Struthio camelus: one gene and its partner. The protein of the gene in region 2 interacts with the protein of the main gene of each other region in a pairwise test. Links are inferred from orthologs where the notes say so. Each region holds a gene or a part of one and is shown on either strand. Other genes may lie near its edges.

Region 1 (7,092 bases), on a different chromosome or scaffold from region 2:
TAACCAAAAGAGCACTCTAGCTCCGGGCAGTCTGGAGAAGCACCGAACAGGCAATCTGAAGAGAACACAGAGGCTGATGCTGATGACTGCTCATAACTTTAAACAGAAGGCATGACAAGAGTTGCTAGGGTAATAAGGTTGTAAGTAGTCAACAGCCTACAAGTCAACTGAACTGCCTCTACCATCAAATGCATTCATTATGTTAGCAAGTTTACAGTAAATTATCTATACCAGTAGCAGAAATTAGTCTGCACCTGCACTGATATATAGGGATACATTCCACTACAAGCTACATTTAACGAAATCAAACAGGAAGACAGCCCAACTCAGTGAAGTCAAACCTTATCTCATATTTTCCTGCTTTTCCCTTTGTTTGATTTTACAAATATTTCATTTTAAAAAAAAATAGCAATTTGTAATCACCCCACACTGTAATGAAATTTGCATTTAACAAGAACTAAAATAATCTCCCTTCCCCCCCTCCCAAGACAACTGAAAGAGATGTCTGAAAATAACCAGAGATGGCTTTGTCCCCCTTAATTACCCACTGCAATCAGAAACCAGACACAGTGGATCTGGGCAGTCTTTCTGGGCAGAACAGCAGCAACATTTAATCAGCAGTTTAGACCATCTGCAACTGTTTTGCAACAACACATAAAGTTTATGGATTCCTGAGCTTTGTATAAACTGCCAGGTGCTGGAGTCTGTTTAACTGTATTTTCTGTTGCAAGATGTTCCCTTTCCTATTCTGATCAACGCTTGATGCTGAACTGGCAGCACAGTGCCTGAAATCTTCCATGCCAAGTTTGACACTAAGGGAGAACATTTTCTTGATTAATCAAGGGCACAGATTAAACGTTTAGAGGAGACAAATTTGAAACAATATAAGAGAAAAGCAATTATTGTGGTTTGTGCTGAGGGAAGCTAAGAGCAACTCATCTGCAGCAACAGATTAAAAAAATCAGACAGCTGAAGCGCACGCCACCCATCATCTAGCCCACTCTTCTGACAGCAGTTGCCACCCCAGCAGCAAGGATGAATGAAGAAATCTTGAACCAGCATGCTTTTCAGTCTGATATAGGAAAGCACCCTGACCTCAAATCCAGTTAAACTTAAAACATCAGATAGAAAATTGGAGCAGTTCAGGAGCTGTTTTATGAGCTACTAAGTCATCCCTGTCTCAGGAGCAGCAGCTCTGTCAAGCAGACAGCTTGGAGCAATGCTCACTTCATCTATCTGATTTCATTCTGCCACGCGCAAGGCAGAACCCTCTCTGTGGCACAGTCACAACAGAATAGAAGCTGGATTATTTTGAATTTTACTTGTTCAGTGGAGTAGAACGTACATTTCCAAACTTATATTTTTGGTGCGAGGGCACCTATTCTGCCATTTCCTGTGACAGCAGCGGCGGGTACCTGACCTTTTCTAGGATGGAAGCAGCTGAAACCTGTAGTTTGCAACTTCTGTTTCTAAGTTTCAGCCCTAAGCCCCTTCACAGAAGGCATTCTCACCTTCACAAAATCATAACTATTTATCTGCCTTCTGTTCCCCCACCTATCTCACATGTATTCACCCTTCTGCCTAATTCTGGAGGTCTGAGTTCAATGATGCCAGAAATCCAGCACTTCTTCTGAAGCGTTACCTAACCTACTGACACAGGAAGCCATTTGTATTCAGGTAAGAGACCAGAAGAGCACAAGGCCAACACAACACCTTCAACAACAATTTCAATACTTGATTTTAGAATGCTTTTATTTTACCTACTGATTCAGCAGGGAAAGTACGTTGTTGCAGTTTGTCTAGGAATAAAAGTACAAGTCAACAGTATTTGTGTATAAGAATCATAACAGAGAAATTAAAACGTTATTACAAATCACTTTTGTCATTCACTTATCCACAGGAGAACGCTATAAATCTACAGCTGTGACAAAAAATGAGTGGTTTACCACAGCTACTTACAAATTAGCCTCCACATATTCAATAAAACACAATCGTACACCAAGAGCAGAAAAATATTTATAAGATAAAAAGAAAGTTTTATAAATAGGAAAACTTTTTCAAAAGATTTGAATAAGAAATGATATCAAATGGCTTCTGTAGCGAAACAGGCAAGAAAAAGGAAGAATGAAAACGCAAGTCGCAGAACGAGCACAGGCTCTACCTCAGGGGCAGGTGGGGGCGCAGGTCAGCGGGGACGCACGGCCCCGTCCCCACCAGCCGCGGAAGGCAGAGCAGCCACACGCCCCCCCCGAGCGATGCTGCTCACGGACGCCGTGGTGCACCGAGCGGGATCAGAAGCCCCCTTTTTCAGGGGGAAAGGTACACCGAGGAGCCCCCGAGCACAACGGCCGGGGAGGAGAGGAGAGGAGAGGAGCGCCGGGCGCTCCCGCCGCACTGCCTTCCCCCGTGCCTCGGCGCCGCCCGCGGCTCCTGGGGCGCTTCGGGCTCCGCACGCCCCCGCCGAGCTGCCTCGCGGCCCGACCCCTCACCCGGGCTCCCCGACCGGGACCGGGACCGAGGCCGCCTCCCCGCCGCCCCCAGAGGCCAGGGGCCGGGCCGCCAGGCCGCAGCAGCGCCGGGGCGCTGGGCCGCGGCCGCCCGGGCAGGCCCGGCGACGGCGGGCGGGAGCCGCCTGAGCTGAGCCGAGCTGAGCCGAGCCGAGCCGGGCCGAGCCGAGCCGGGCCGAGCCGAGCCGGGCCGAGCCGAGCCGGGCCGAGTCGAGCCGGGCCGGGCCTGCCCCGCGGCGCCGCTCACCTGGTAGCTGAGCAGCTCCCCCACGTCCATGGCGGCCACCGGGCAACCGCCGCAGACCACTGGGCTGCGCGACACCGCGCCGTAAAGCAGGGCGCCACGGGAAGGCGGGAGGGCACCACTCCACCGGAAAGCGAGGCGGGAGGGGAAGGGTGAAGGGCTGGCTGCCGGAAAGTGAGAGGCGGGCGAGCGCCACACTGTCGCAAAGCAGCCCCGGGTGCTGGCAGGGGTGGGGGATGCGAGGGCCGGAGAGCCCGGCAGAGGGCAAAGGGCGGAGGGCAAAGGGCGGAGGTCAGAGGTCAGGGCAGCCGCGGTGCGGCGGGGAAGGCCGTGGCGGGGCCTGCTGGGCCTCGGGGCAGCCCCGGGCGGGGGGAGCCGCCCCGGGATGGAGCCCGAGCCGGGCCGCGAGGGAGGAAGGGGGCCTCGGGAGCCGGCCGGGGCCGCGGCCGCCACGGAGCGGGCAGCCCGGCGAGGCCAAGCGCGGCTCCTCGCGGCGGCGGGGAGCGGGCGGCGGGAGCCAGCGGTGCCAGCGCTGCATGGCAAGGAGATGGCGAGGCGGGCCCTCGGAGCGCGCCTGCCCGCCTGCCTCCGGCTCCTGCAGCTCCGGGCGCGCCGCGCCCACCCTCCGCACCAGGGCCCTCGTTTACCCGTTTCTGCCCTGGTGCAGCCGTGCTATACCTCCTCCGAGAGGCGATGAGATCATCCTGGCACGCTGGGCCCTGCTGTTGTGCTCTCAGGCGCGTGTCTGGGAGCCGGCTGCACCTTTTGTTTTGGGTTCCAGCAGATGTGAGTCTGGCAGCTGCGCTACAATAGTTACCAGATCAACAAATACTCGTATGCATTCCCGATACAAAGAGGATGTCTCTCATACCTCTCCCACTCCCCTAAGATCAGGACTTTGCTGCTGGCGCAAAAAAAAAGAAGCATCCAAGCTAAACCCATCCAGTATCTACCCGCAGAACTGCGGAGGGAGCAGTGTGGACGCGTGACCCGGTGGGGCACGCAGCGACGCTAAGGCTGTAGTTCATGTTTGTTCAATGTGTCTGGCAGCCGCTGGAGCCCTGCGTCGTATCACGCTGGGAGCTGAAGCCGCTCTGAGACTGAGGAAACTCAGCACTTCAGCAAAGCGCGCTCACGGCTCCGGAGCTCCTCGCTGCAGAGCAGAGGCACCTGAAATCAGTCGTTTCTTCTGACCCTGTTTCTGTAGCCTTTTGCAAATCCTACCCAGGGCTGAGACAGGCTAGGAAATATCAAAGTCTGTAGCCAACATTTTTTGGCAACACATTTCTGTTTATACACAGCATCATTAACCACTGCCACCTTGAAAACAGGCCAATATCTGAGTGCTGAGTACAGCAGGGGGGATGTAACAATCCCTCTGTTTTTCAAGATCATGACAAATAGTTTTGTAATTCAACAAACTGCAAAGCCACCGATAGACGCATTTTTCAGTTTAACAAATATGAATAATTAAGAAAGAGTCAACTTGGCCCAAATCTTATTGAATATATTTCAACTATTCGTTAAAAAACAGCTTTGAGCTAAATAATTTTTCATAACATAATGATTGCAGCTATTACACAGTTATCTCAGTAGGAGTCTGGTTTGAGAATACTCATGAAATTGAAAATATATATAATGTTTTCAACGAAAGAAGTCCATAGCGTCCCCTGTGGTTTCAATAAACTATAGGACATATCAGTCATGACGAAATTAACTCAACAAATCTGCATTTTAAAGACAAGATAAATAGAGGGTAATTATTGGATCATCTGGCTTTCTTTTATTGAGTATTTAGATAATTCACCAGCTGTGAAGCCAAAACATTCACAAGTCATTCTAGGAGTATTGACATATACTTGTGAACATGATACAGTTATTGGAAAGCCTGATAAGTGATGGTGATAAACAAGACATAAGCAATTGTAAAATAAATAAAATACAGAAGGAGATAAGAACTGACCCTCGATCTACAGACAGAAGCTTCATAAACCCAGGAGACGTAACAACATCAGACATGATCTTTTTGCTGTTCCAACGTTTCTTCTCTCCATTCCGTTCCTTTGCCTTTGTTCTTGCTGAATGATATTATCTCCCTAAAATTATGTTTTTCCTTTCACTCTTTAATAGCACTTTGAACATATATTTTCCTCACACTTCTCAAAGTGGTAGATACATAGAAATAAATTGAGCCTTGTAGCTTCAGTGTGAGGCAGGTAACATTCCAGCTACAATACTGCCCCCCCCCCCAAAAAAAAAAAAAATCCCATTAGCCTTGGAAGTAAAAGAGACACTTCAGAGGGCAGCCAGTTCAGAAAATGCAGAATCAGGACCTCCGTATGCAATGTTGGCAGAAGGATAAAGTAAGTCATAGGAAAACTAAGCTGCCAAATCATAGACTGCTTTAATAGTATTTTTATTTGTGTAGACTTTGCTGGCTTCAGAGTACTTTACATGTAGTAATTCACTACTGAATACAAAGCACCTATTTGCTTTGCAGCTCTAGCCATGGAGACAGAAAAGGCCTCCAGGGAAACAGCAGCGGGGGAGTTAGGACCCCGCAGACTGCCTTCTCTGGGAAGAATGTGTTGGGCTGTCATTCAGCCCTCAATTTGGAAGGTTTTTCAGAGCCAGGAGCTGTCTTTGGCTATAGCACCTTTACCTGAAGGCAGCGGTTGATACTAAACTAAAGAGGAGGCAGAGGTCCAATCCAAAGGTGACACGTTCACCAAATTACCCTCCGAAGGAAATTGCTGAACGAAGTGTCGAATGGCAACACCTCAGCTCCTGTCAGACTTCATGGATTCAAGAGGCATTTGACAGCCAGGACTGTGGTTCACACTGGAACACCTCCAAATACCGTGGTACACTAGGAGAATAATCAATAGCTTATCGCCATCAGGTCTTTGTGTCGAAAGGATACTTAACGAGCCAGTGGTTCAGTGGAGACAAGGGTATCCAGCAAGGTCACATTCCTCCCTCCTGCTTGGCACTGATATTGTGTCTCTGAAGAGAAAAACACGAGCCCATATTGCTTGTGCAGTTCCACAGCAAAGCCAAGTTTTTGCTGACTGCACCAGTCTGCAGAGTCTGCGAATGGAGACTGGGAAATTCTGTCCGGCACTGGAGAGGAGGAAGACAGGCTGCGAAAGAGAATTATTCTTCAATTTGGAAAAAAAAAAGGCCCGACCCAAATAAGTCTAACAATGCCCCAATAACTCCCAGCTGAAGCTTCACCTCAGAAGGCAAAGGAATAGAAAAGAGTAAATCAGTTAGTTCATTTCCTTGGCAATATTGTGCAGGCCAGTGAGGATATTCAGAAAAACATAAAGTCATGAATTTGAGAAGTGGCAGCTGCATTTACCATCCTAAATAAAATGTGATAACCAGAAATCTACAACCTCATGGGAAAGGCACAAATCTTCAGGTACTATTTCTTCTGGCCCTGACAGCTGAAAATCCAGCAGAGGTACAGACTGCCAACGGTGTGCCTGAGAGAGCAAATTAATCGTGAAAACACAAGGCACTGAAAGGCAGTAACAGAAAACAAACATTGGGCTCCGACATCTCGTATCACTTGCGTTGTGCAGGCAGGACAGTGGAAGCAGTCGGGACGCGGTCGAGGTTGAAGCCGGAGCGTCTGCTGTGGCAGGGCTCCTCGGGCTGGAGCGCCGAGGGGCCGCTGCAGCGCAGGGCAGGCGGGCGTCCTGCAGATGCGCTGAGTGGTGCCTCGCTGCCGCAGGAAGGATCTTGGCTCGTATGTCCCTGGTCCCCAGGCTGTGTCTGAAACCTCTCTCTGTCTCCATACAGCGCCTAGAAATAACCTGCAAAAGCTTTCCTTTTGCTTCTATTTTCTTGCCTTGAGCTCCTTGCGCTGTCAGCCCGCGGGGTGCTGGGTGAAAGGGAGAGGTCGAGTGTGAAACCACAAAGCGTAGTGCAATGCAATTGTCATTGAAACAACTGTCAGCAACCACTGGTTCCTTTTGGACTTATTCCTGTCTCCGTGCTCTGCTCGGCCTCATAACACTCCAAAACAACCTTATTGCTGTCCGGGAAACACAATTCTCTCCAAGCCGCTGCAGGGCAGGATTCAATAACAGAGTGTTTTTATCCAATAAAGGGAGTTGGAGCACAGGGACAAAATATTGAATTAAAAGCAGAAACAGAAGCAAGATCAAGTATAAAAAAACCTTCAAGTAAATGAAAGGCTGGAGAAAAGCAGAGCGTCCTCAGCATGGGCTCTGAATGGGGCCCAATGCCAGCCTCTCCTAGGGAGCCTCTAAACACGTTGCAAAGCTGCAGGAAAGGACTGGAGAATTTGGAAGGACTGTAGCAAAAATG
Region 2 (7,862 bases):
TAGAATAAAACACTCCTTGCTACAAACAGTATAAAATTCAACAATTCCCAGAATAACTCTGCCAAAGTATGTTTTTTCAGCAGAAGATCATCAAGTTCAACATACCCTCAACTCTGTTTCACCTTCTCTAAATTTGAAATAATAAAATACTGCCAGCGTACCCAAAAGGACACCCAAAACGGACAGACTGAGGAGAATTACTGTTCTGGTGGAACTGAGAGAACTTAGCTCATTTGTACCATGCAAATTGACAGACCCGTCACCAAAAGCAAAGAATGACGAAGACAGAAAACGAGGCTGGGAGAGACATTAGAAACTGCTCAGTGACATTCCTGTATTCAACACAAGTGACAGACAGTAAGACATCTGATGTTGCCACAGTCAAAACAAGGTGGTTTTTTTAACTGCCATCCCCTCAAACTTCACCTATCTTGTTAAGCAATTAAAAAGAAAAAGAAAAGCTTTAGGTGAGATTTTTTACTTTGCACATCAACAGTAAGAATTCTAGTATCTCAATTAAGAAAGGAAACGTATTGATCATACAAAACAGATGCAACTTCCCCTTCTGCACACTGGTGCTTTGACAGGCTAAAAAAAGATAATGCTTGCATGCATACCCTCTGTTTTGGTGGAAATCATGAAAATTAAGTTATTTGCACTCCACAAATATCTCTCAACGATTTTAAATATTGCCTTCATTGCCAATTATTCTACACTGGCATGTTTTTCTGTAACAACACACTGTCAGGAGGATGTTAAGTATGAGAAAGCAGGAGGAAAGGTAATTCTCTATTTTTGATTCTACCATGAAAAAAAAAAAAAAAAATCAACTGAAACATCCTCCCCTCATTCAAGCTTACACAATGTAATGGATGTTCCTATCTCAAGCACAGAACAAATAATTTCAGTAGTGTTCAAACTTTCTATTTATTCATTTCAGTCAAGCTGAAATAATCCTAGTTTAACCCCAAATGAGTATTTATAAAAACAAAATTTGTTTAAAATCACATCTTCAGCCAGCGCCGTGGAGATCTCTTGACATGTTCAGGGCTCGGTATTCAGGCAAGCCCATAGGGACGCTACCCAAGGGTCAAAGGCACTGTATTCAGCACGTGTCCCCCAAATAACAACTGAACAGAGAGGCAGTCCCAGGGTGACAATTATCACCAGCGTGACAAGGACAGAGAGACCAGCCAGAACGCTGAAAGGTGCCAAACCAAAAAACCAAAACTATTTGCAACTATTTGCAGAACAACCATAGTCGTTCTACTGGAACCACAATGGTGAATAGCATGGTACGAGAGCTCCATTTTAAACCTCATACAAACATCTGCAGAAGAAAGGAAAGGCAGGAGCAAAGTCATGTGTCATGGTGGGGAGGAATCACACAACTACACACATGATCATACTGACTATGAATACCATCTGAACAATTTGAGACACAAGGTACTCCCCCCCCAAAAAAAAGAAAAAAGGAAAGGCAGAAAACCAGGGAGGATACCAGGAGTTTTCAGCAAATTCTCAAAAGCATCAGAGCACAAAACCCTGAAACCTGCTGGATGCTGAAGTATTCCCACCACCAGTGGTAACAGGGTGGAAAGCAAGAAAGTATTCCATGAAATTTTCGTAAATTGGGCCATGTTCAGACTAGCAAAGCACAGTTTCTACGCTGCTTTACTTAAAACTAGTAATTCAATAAGCTCAAAACCATCAAGCTACTTTATTCTAAAATAAAGAGTGCCTAACTTTTATCATGAGCGTATGGCAAATTATTAAAAATACTACCACTTATAGGCAACTACGTGAAAACTATCCCATACTTTTCAAAACAATTGATAACAATGTAAATACCAGCATGCCAGCATATGAACACAGTCCAAATGCTGTCTACTGCTACTAACTATTCTTTTGTACTATCTCATCTCTCACCGATCCAAACAGTAGTAACTGCTTTTGCCTAATTAATTTTGCATAATTCAAGAGTATCTCTTTTATCTGTGGTTTCTAATTGTTTTCTGAGTCCCAGAGACCCAAGCGCAACAGCTTTATACAATGTCACTGGCTCAAGGAGTTGGGCACTATGTATATTTTAACGGTACAAATAGAAACAGGCACCACGGTTCAAGAGACCGCTGCGCTGTTTCATGGAAATTCAGGCATGTGACCGGTCCCCTCTTCATGTCCGGACTGCCAATGTCCAGGCTTTTTGGGTGCCAAAGCTTAATTAACCAGGGCCCCTTTAACAAACTCCAAATACTGAAACTGCCGTACAAAAATCTTTTATATTAGACCTTGGAATGGGAAACAGACCCAACTGCTGATCTTGCAATTCAAAGTAATTTTGTACTACTGGCTTACTTGGCAATTACTTACAACGGGGACACGCAGTTACTTATAAACGAGCTTCCTAGCCAGCAGATGACACATCACTTCAGGGAGGCAAGGAAACCTCAGTCCTTCTGGTTCAGCCAGAACCAAACCCACTGCCAACTAGCACGGCACAAAAAGGAGCAAGAGCCAGAGGAAGGCCACAGGCCCTGCGCAGTCAAAAACGAGCTCCCACGAGAAACACGGGAACCCAGAAAAGACCGCCTCTTTCTCCCCTTTGCTGAGCCTTAAAAGAAACATAACGTGCTAGCTTTTAGCTCTTCCGCAGAAAGGTGCCTAGCAGATAAGAGCCTCTCTTTACAGCATCAGCTATGACAAGTTAGTGCTATTCACGTCTATTGCTCCTTGCCAATCAAAGGTTCTCAACGCGCTTTCCAAACAGTGAGCCTTTTACAGCACCGCCGCCCTTATCCCCACTCTGCAGGTGGAGAACTTGAGGAACTGGCTACACAGAGGTGGAAAGTTTACCAAGTACCACGCAGGACACACGTACCATCCAGTGCTTCGGTCTTTCTACAGCATCCCTCGATTCTTCTTCCACAGAAACCCACATAAAACTCAAACCTTCTTCCAGCAAAAGCGATTAAAACGCTGGTTCCACCTCCTCCCCCCAGCATGTACCAAGACGGCAAACACACAAGCAGCCTGGTGTGTCTAGGCATGTGTCGCACCTGCACAAGACCCCCCTTAGGTGGGCAGATCACAGCACGCTCGTCCTTGGAGCTCTAAAACCCCCAACGCTACCAATACGCGTAGGTAGTCAGGCGATGCCCGTAACGCGCTGCGCATACTTGCGAGGACATAAATTCACTTTCAAACAAAAACAAGAGAAGACAGAATTATGAAAATACGCGCTATTTTAAAAAGCCACAACTCCCACTCTTCCGGAGCAGGCTTTTCGTTAAAAAAAAAAAAAAGAAAAAACAAAAACGCTCCTCTCCAGCAAGCTCCACACAACGCTCCCAAACGTTACAAACGCCAGGACGGCACGAGCGCCCCTGAAACGGCGCGGTGCTCTCTCACCGCGGCGGCCGGCCGCACACCGGCGCGGGCCGCCCTCGCCCCCGGACCGCCTCGGCGCCGCCGGGCCGGGCCGGGCCGGGCCAGAGCCGCCCCCCGCGGGGAGGAGCCGCCGCCGCCGACCCCCGGGCACGGTAAGGCGGCAGCCCCGCCGCGCCACGTGGATAGGGGGCCCCGCCAAGGCCGGATCTGCCCCCAAAACAGCACCGCTCGCCGTATTCTGGGGGGAGGAAGGAGGGTTTCTAACGCCTCCCGGCCGGGCCCAGCTTCGCCAGCGGCGGCGGGACCGGCAGCGCCGCCTCCCCCGCGCCGCCCGCCGCCGGCGGGGGCGAACAAAGGCCGCCGCCAACGCCGCCGCCGCCGGCCCCTGCCGGGGACGGCGCAGAGCCCGCGGCGGCGGCGGCGGCGGCCGCTCCACGTGGCGGGCGCCGGCCGGGCCAGGCCGGGCCGTGCCCCAGCGCGGGCCCGTCCCCGTCCCTGTCCCCGTCCCCTCCCTGCCCGCCGCGCCGCCCCCGCGGCCTGCGGAGGGGGCGCGGGCGGCCGGTGCCGCGCGCCGCCGCCCCCGAGGGCCGCCTCACCTTGCCGCGGCTCGTCGCCGCCGCCCTCGTCGCCGCCGCCCTCGTCGCCGGGCCCGCCGCCGCCGCTGCTGCTGCCGCCGCCGCCGCCCCCCGGCCGGCCGCCCGCCGCCGCCGCCCGCGCCGCGCCATCGCGCGAGCCGGAGCCGCCGCCGCTCGGCTGCTGCGGGGCGCGGGAGCGGGAGGGAGGAGAGGGGCGGGGAGGAGCGCGGGGGCGCCGCCGCCGCCGGCTGCGCGGGCAGCGGGAGGCGGGCGAGGCGGCGGGGTGGAGCCGCCCGGCGGCGGCGGGAAAGGCGCGGGGGACGGGCCGGGCCGCGACCCGACCCGCCGGGGCAGCCCGTGCCCTCCCTCCGCCCCTGCGCGGCCGGCGGCGGCGGGGTCTCGGCTGCCCGGGGACCGGGCCGGGCCGGGTCGCTCCCCGCAGCGCAGCGCTCACGCGGGACCGGCGGGTAAGGGCAAAGGAGCGCTGCCGGCTGACCGAATAGGCGCTGATCCTCCAAATAATTCATCCTTTTTTGTTTGTTTGTTTGTTTGTTTCATATTACGCAGCCGTGAAGTACACGCGTTTTTCAAGACGCTAGAAAGACGGATGGAAATAATTTTTAAGTGCTTTCTGTAAGCGCTGCCAAGCTTTTCAAGTGGGGTACCTTGAACTCCCAGTTGTTGCGCCGGTGCAAAGTGAAGTCTAAAGAGGCAGCATATGACCTGTTGGGGTTTTTTTTCCCCCCCTTCAACATCAGATCTAGAGGAATTCAAATTTAAAAATGGTGCAAAGTAGACCAAGTTAGAGTATTTTAATAAAAGATGGAAAAAGTGAGAACATGTATCTTTTTTTTTTGTTTCCACAATTTATATTTTCCTAAAACAAATTCCTATTTTATTATATTCTTCCAGACTTCAGCTAGCAGGAAGAAAAAAGAACATGAACACAGAGAAACTATTATGTTTCTACTTGTCTCCAAATGGCCTCCTGTGTTCCTTGGTTAGGAGTTCTAATTTTTGTAAAAATTTACGATATTATAGGTGTCAAATTAGTACTAGGTTAGGCACCTTTTATCTGGTGATTACTGAATAATTCCATAAGCAAAACAGCCCTTTGGGCAGAGACCATGTCCCAGAGATCGTGGTCCCCAGTGAGCGCACTGCATGGTGGGACGGAGGTTCCTGCGCAGCTTCTCCCTGTCCCACTGACACTGTGGCTCCTCGATTGCTCAGTGCAGCATGAAACAGGTCACAGAAACCTGCTGAGATTATATTTTCCTGTTGTGGCTTTGATAATGGAAAAGTATAATTCCCAATATGCATGTAACTGAACTCTTGCATTTAGGCTACATTTTTAAAAGTTCCCCTCCTTTTCCCCAGTCTGCAAATTTCTTCCTGGGTGGCCCTGGAGAGTACCACTCATCTTCGCAGCTGCAGCCATCCTCTCCAACCGTGGCTGTTGCCAACCCCTGATCAGTGATCTCAAAGGGATGGGCTCTGCAAATGGTTCGCGGGTATAAAGCCCTCTCAGAACTGGCAATGGAATATCTCCAGTACTTGCAATTCCATAAAATTCATGTATGACCTCTTAACTGCACTGTTCTCTGACATCAGGGAAAACAGGAGAATGCTCACTGGCTCTCTCTAAGCCCGGGGGTGTGGGATAAGGTCTGGACATTTGGACCAAGAAAGCAACACGTTCATCTGCTATGTAATCTAGATGAAATAGGCCCATGATAACTGTCTTTGTAGTTTTGCATTAATTAAAGAAAAAAAAAAGATGAATGGGTTGTATTCCTCTGTAGCTTACCTTCAAACCCAATTGTGAATTACCACATGAGTAACAAATCCAGAACTCTTTGACTATTTTAATACTTGCTGAATGCCATCAAATTACTTGTTGTGTATATGTTTTAGTTTAGGGAGGGCTCCAACATTCATTGTGCAGTCTGCCTACCACAATGGGTTCCCAATCCTGATTAGGACTTTTAAATAGTGTAGTGTAGTGTAATTGACTTACAATAAGACTCACAAATGTAATTTTCCTGTAGGCAAGTGAAAAGACAAGATGAGAAATTATCTTCTTCTGTTGCTCTCTGAAAAGCCCCCCACAAAAGTGGAAGAAGAGCCTCTCCTTGTAGTATGGTATTTGATCCTCAGTGTAACACACGCTGTTTGAGTCCCAAGGTGGACTACCGAGCTGAGCCACAAAGTACTTCCAAGCCTTTATATTCCAGCCATATAGAGAGTAGTTGTTAGAACTGGATCTGAGGAAAAGTAGTTACATGCAAACAAAGAACCGTTTAAATACTCGCTATTTAAATACTGGTTTGCATTGCAATATCCACTGCAGACACCTGCGGTTGTCACTCAGGGTACAGGAATAAGCTTTGTGGATGAGGTAGGGAGGAGGGGAAAAGGGAATTTAGTAGAAGACAAAGCATGGGAATTACATATAATGTCAGCAAAATTGAACGTAGACTTTTCAAAATATGAAAGTGTATAAAATCACTTGTATAATAACACGTAGCCCATATACTCCTTGAAGATCTGTATTTTATGTATTCTGTTGCTGACCCTGGTTTTCGTTCTTTTGCTTCTCCCCAACAGTTTACAGTGTGAAGCACTTCATTTGTTAAAAGCTGTCAAGACACTAGCTCAGACTGTGAACAGCAGATTTGAAACGATTGTGTTGGCTGTCCTGTGCTAAATTAGACTGAATAAAATTGCATTCTGATTATAACAGAGATATGTGACTATTGTGCTCTTGCATATACATTAGGAACTGCCCAATAGTATCTTGTGCTATTTTATGCAATTTCTTGCTTTGTTTCTCTTTTTCTGTTAACTTTCCATTTCATTTTATACTTTCACAATCATTCTCCTTCCCAGCATTTTCAAGTCATTTGTGTCAGATATTGATCTTTATGCTGCTCTTTTAGAGTTGGGTTTCTTTAATTGCCTTGGTTTGATTAGATGGCAGCTGTATCTCAAATACTTCTCAGTGTGGATTTTCTGCTACTGCATTTCTGCCCATTTTCTTTACCTCCTTTCAAAGTTTGTGTATCTAACCCCCAATAGCTTTCATACTATTGCCTTGTCAGTAGAACCTCATCAGCTCCTCAGATGAGATACAGCTAGATTTTAGGTCCTCTTCAACCTTATATATTAAGCCTGAATTATTTTGCAACAGCTGGGTCCCGAATAGCCTCTCTTTGCTCCTCATTCTGTGATAGCATTGCTGATAATGTCTCAGTCCAGACTTCACACTCTTGAATTATGTAAAGAAACTCATAGCAGTAAGTTCTGTCTCGGGCTTAGGGTGACCATTATAATCGGACTAAAACTTTCTGAACGAAACCAGCATGTCCTGAAGGAATCATTAGCTGCTCTGAGTATGTATCAAGTATAGCAGCTCGATTCATTTTTGTGGGCCACCTCAGTAACATACTTGATGCACAGTAAAATTACATCATAGGACCAGCATCTCTCTGAAGTGGCCTTGTAAATGAAAAGTACGTTTACCGTTAATTTCAAATGAATAAATACCATTCTAGGTTATAATTCTGGACTTTGATGCTCTCATTTCACCAAACTAGATGCACATGAAAATCAGTCCTCACTCCTGAGCTGTTTTCACTGCTCCCTCCAAAAGTCTCTAATTTGGGGAGCCATTGTAATCATGACTGGGGGTTTCAGTCCTATCTTCCTGCCACCACATTTCTCTGAGACCTGTCAAGCATTTTAAGTAGCATGCACTTTCCCACACTTCTCAATGAATGCTGACGTACCTAACTTAAAAGGATTACTTTCTGCTGAGAGGAATTGTAATCCTCTTTTCCTGCTCTGCAAATCCTCTAGTAAGTGAAAAAGAAAGGCCAAAATCTGTTCTGCTGT

What was found. The genes of interacting proteins can lie anywhere in the genome.
Region 1: the proteins of CDCA7L (region 2) and CTNNBL1 interact in binary tests that used the Homo sapiens proteins (3 or more experiments, as listed by UniProt). The link is inferred for Struthio camelus from reciprocal best matches to the Homo sapiens genes CDCA7L and CTNNBL1.

The regions. Positions count from the first base shown.
Region 1 is NC_090959.1:19,226,465-19,233,556, forward strand, and holds the start of CTNNBL1 (beta-catenin-like protein 1), read right to left. Parts: upstream 3,003-7,092; 5' UTR 2,785-3,002; coding exon 2,755-2,784; intron 1-2,754. UniProt on the Homo sapiens protein: Component of the PRP19-CDC5L complex that forms an integral part of the spliceosome and is required for activating pre-mRNA splicing.
Region 2 is NC_090943.1:36,864,100-36,871,961, forward strand, and holds the start of CDCA7L (cell division cycle-associated 7-like protein), read right to left. Parts: upstream 3,005-7,862; 5' UTR 2,942-3,004; coding exon 2,882-2,941; intron 1-2,881. UniProt on the Homo sapiens protein: Plays a role in transcriptional regulation as a repressor that inhibits monoamine oxidase A (MAOA) activity and gene expression by binding to the promoter.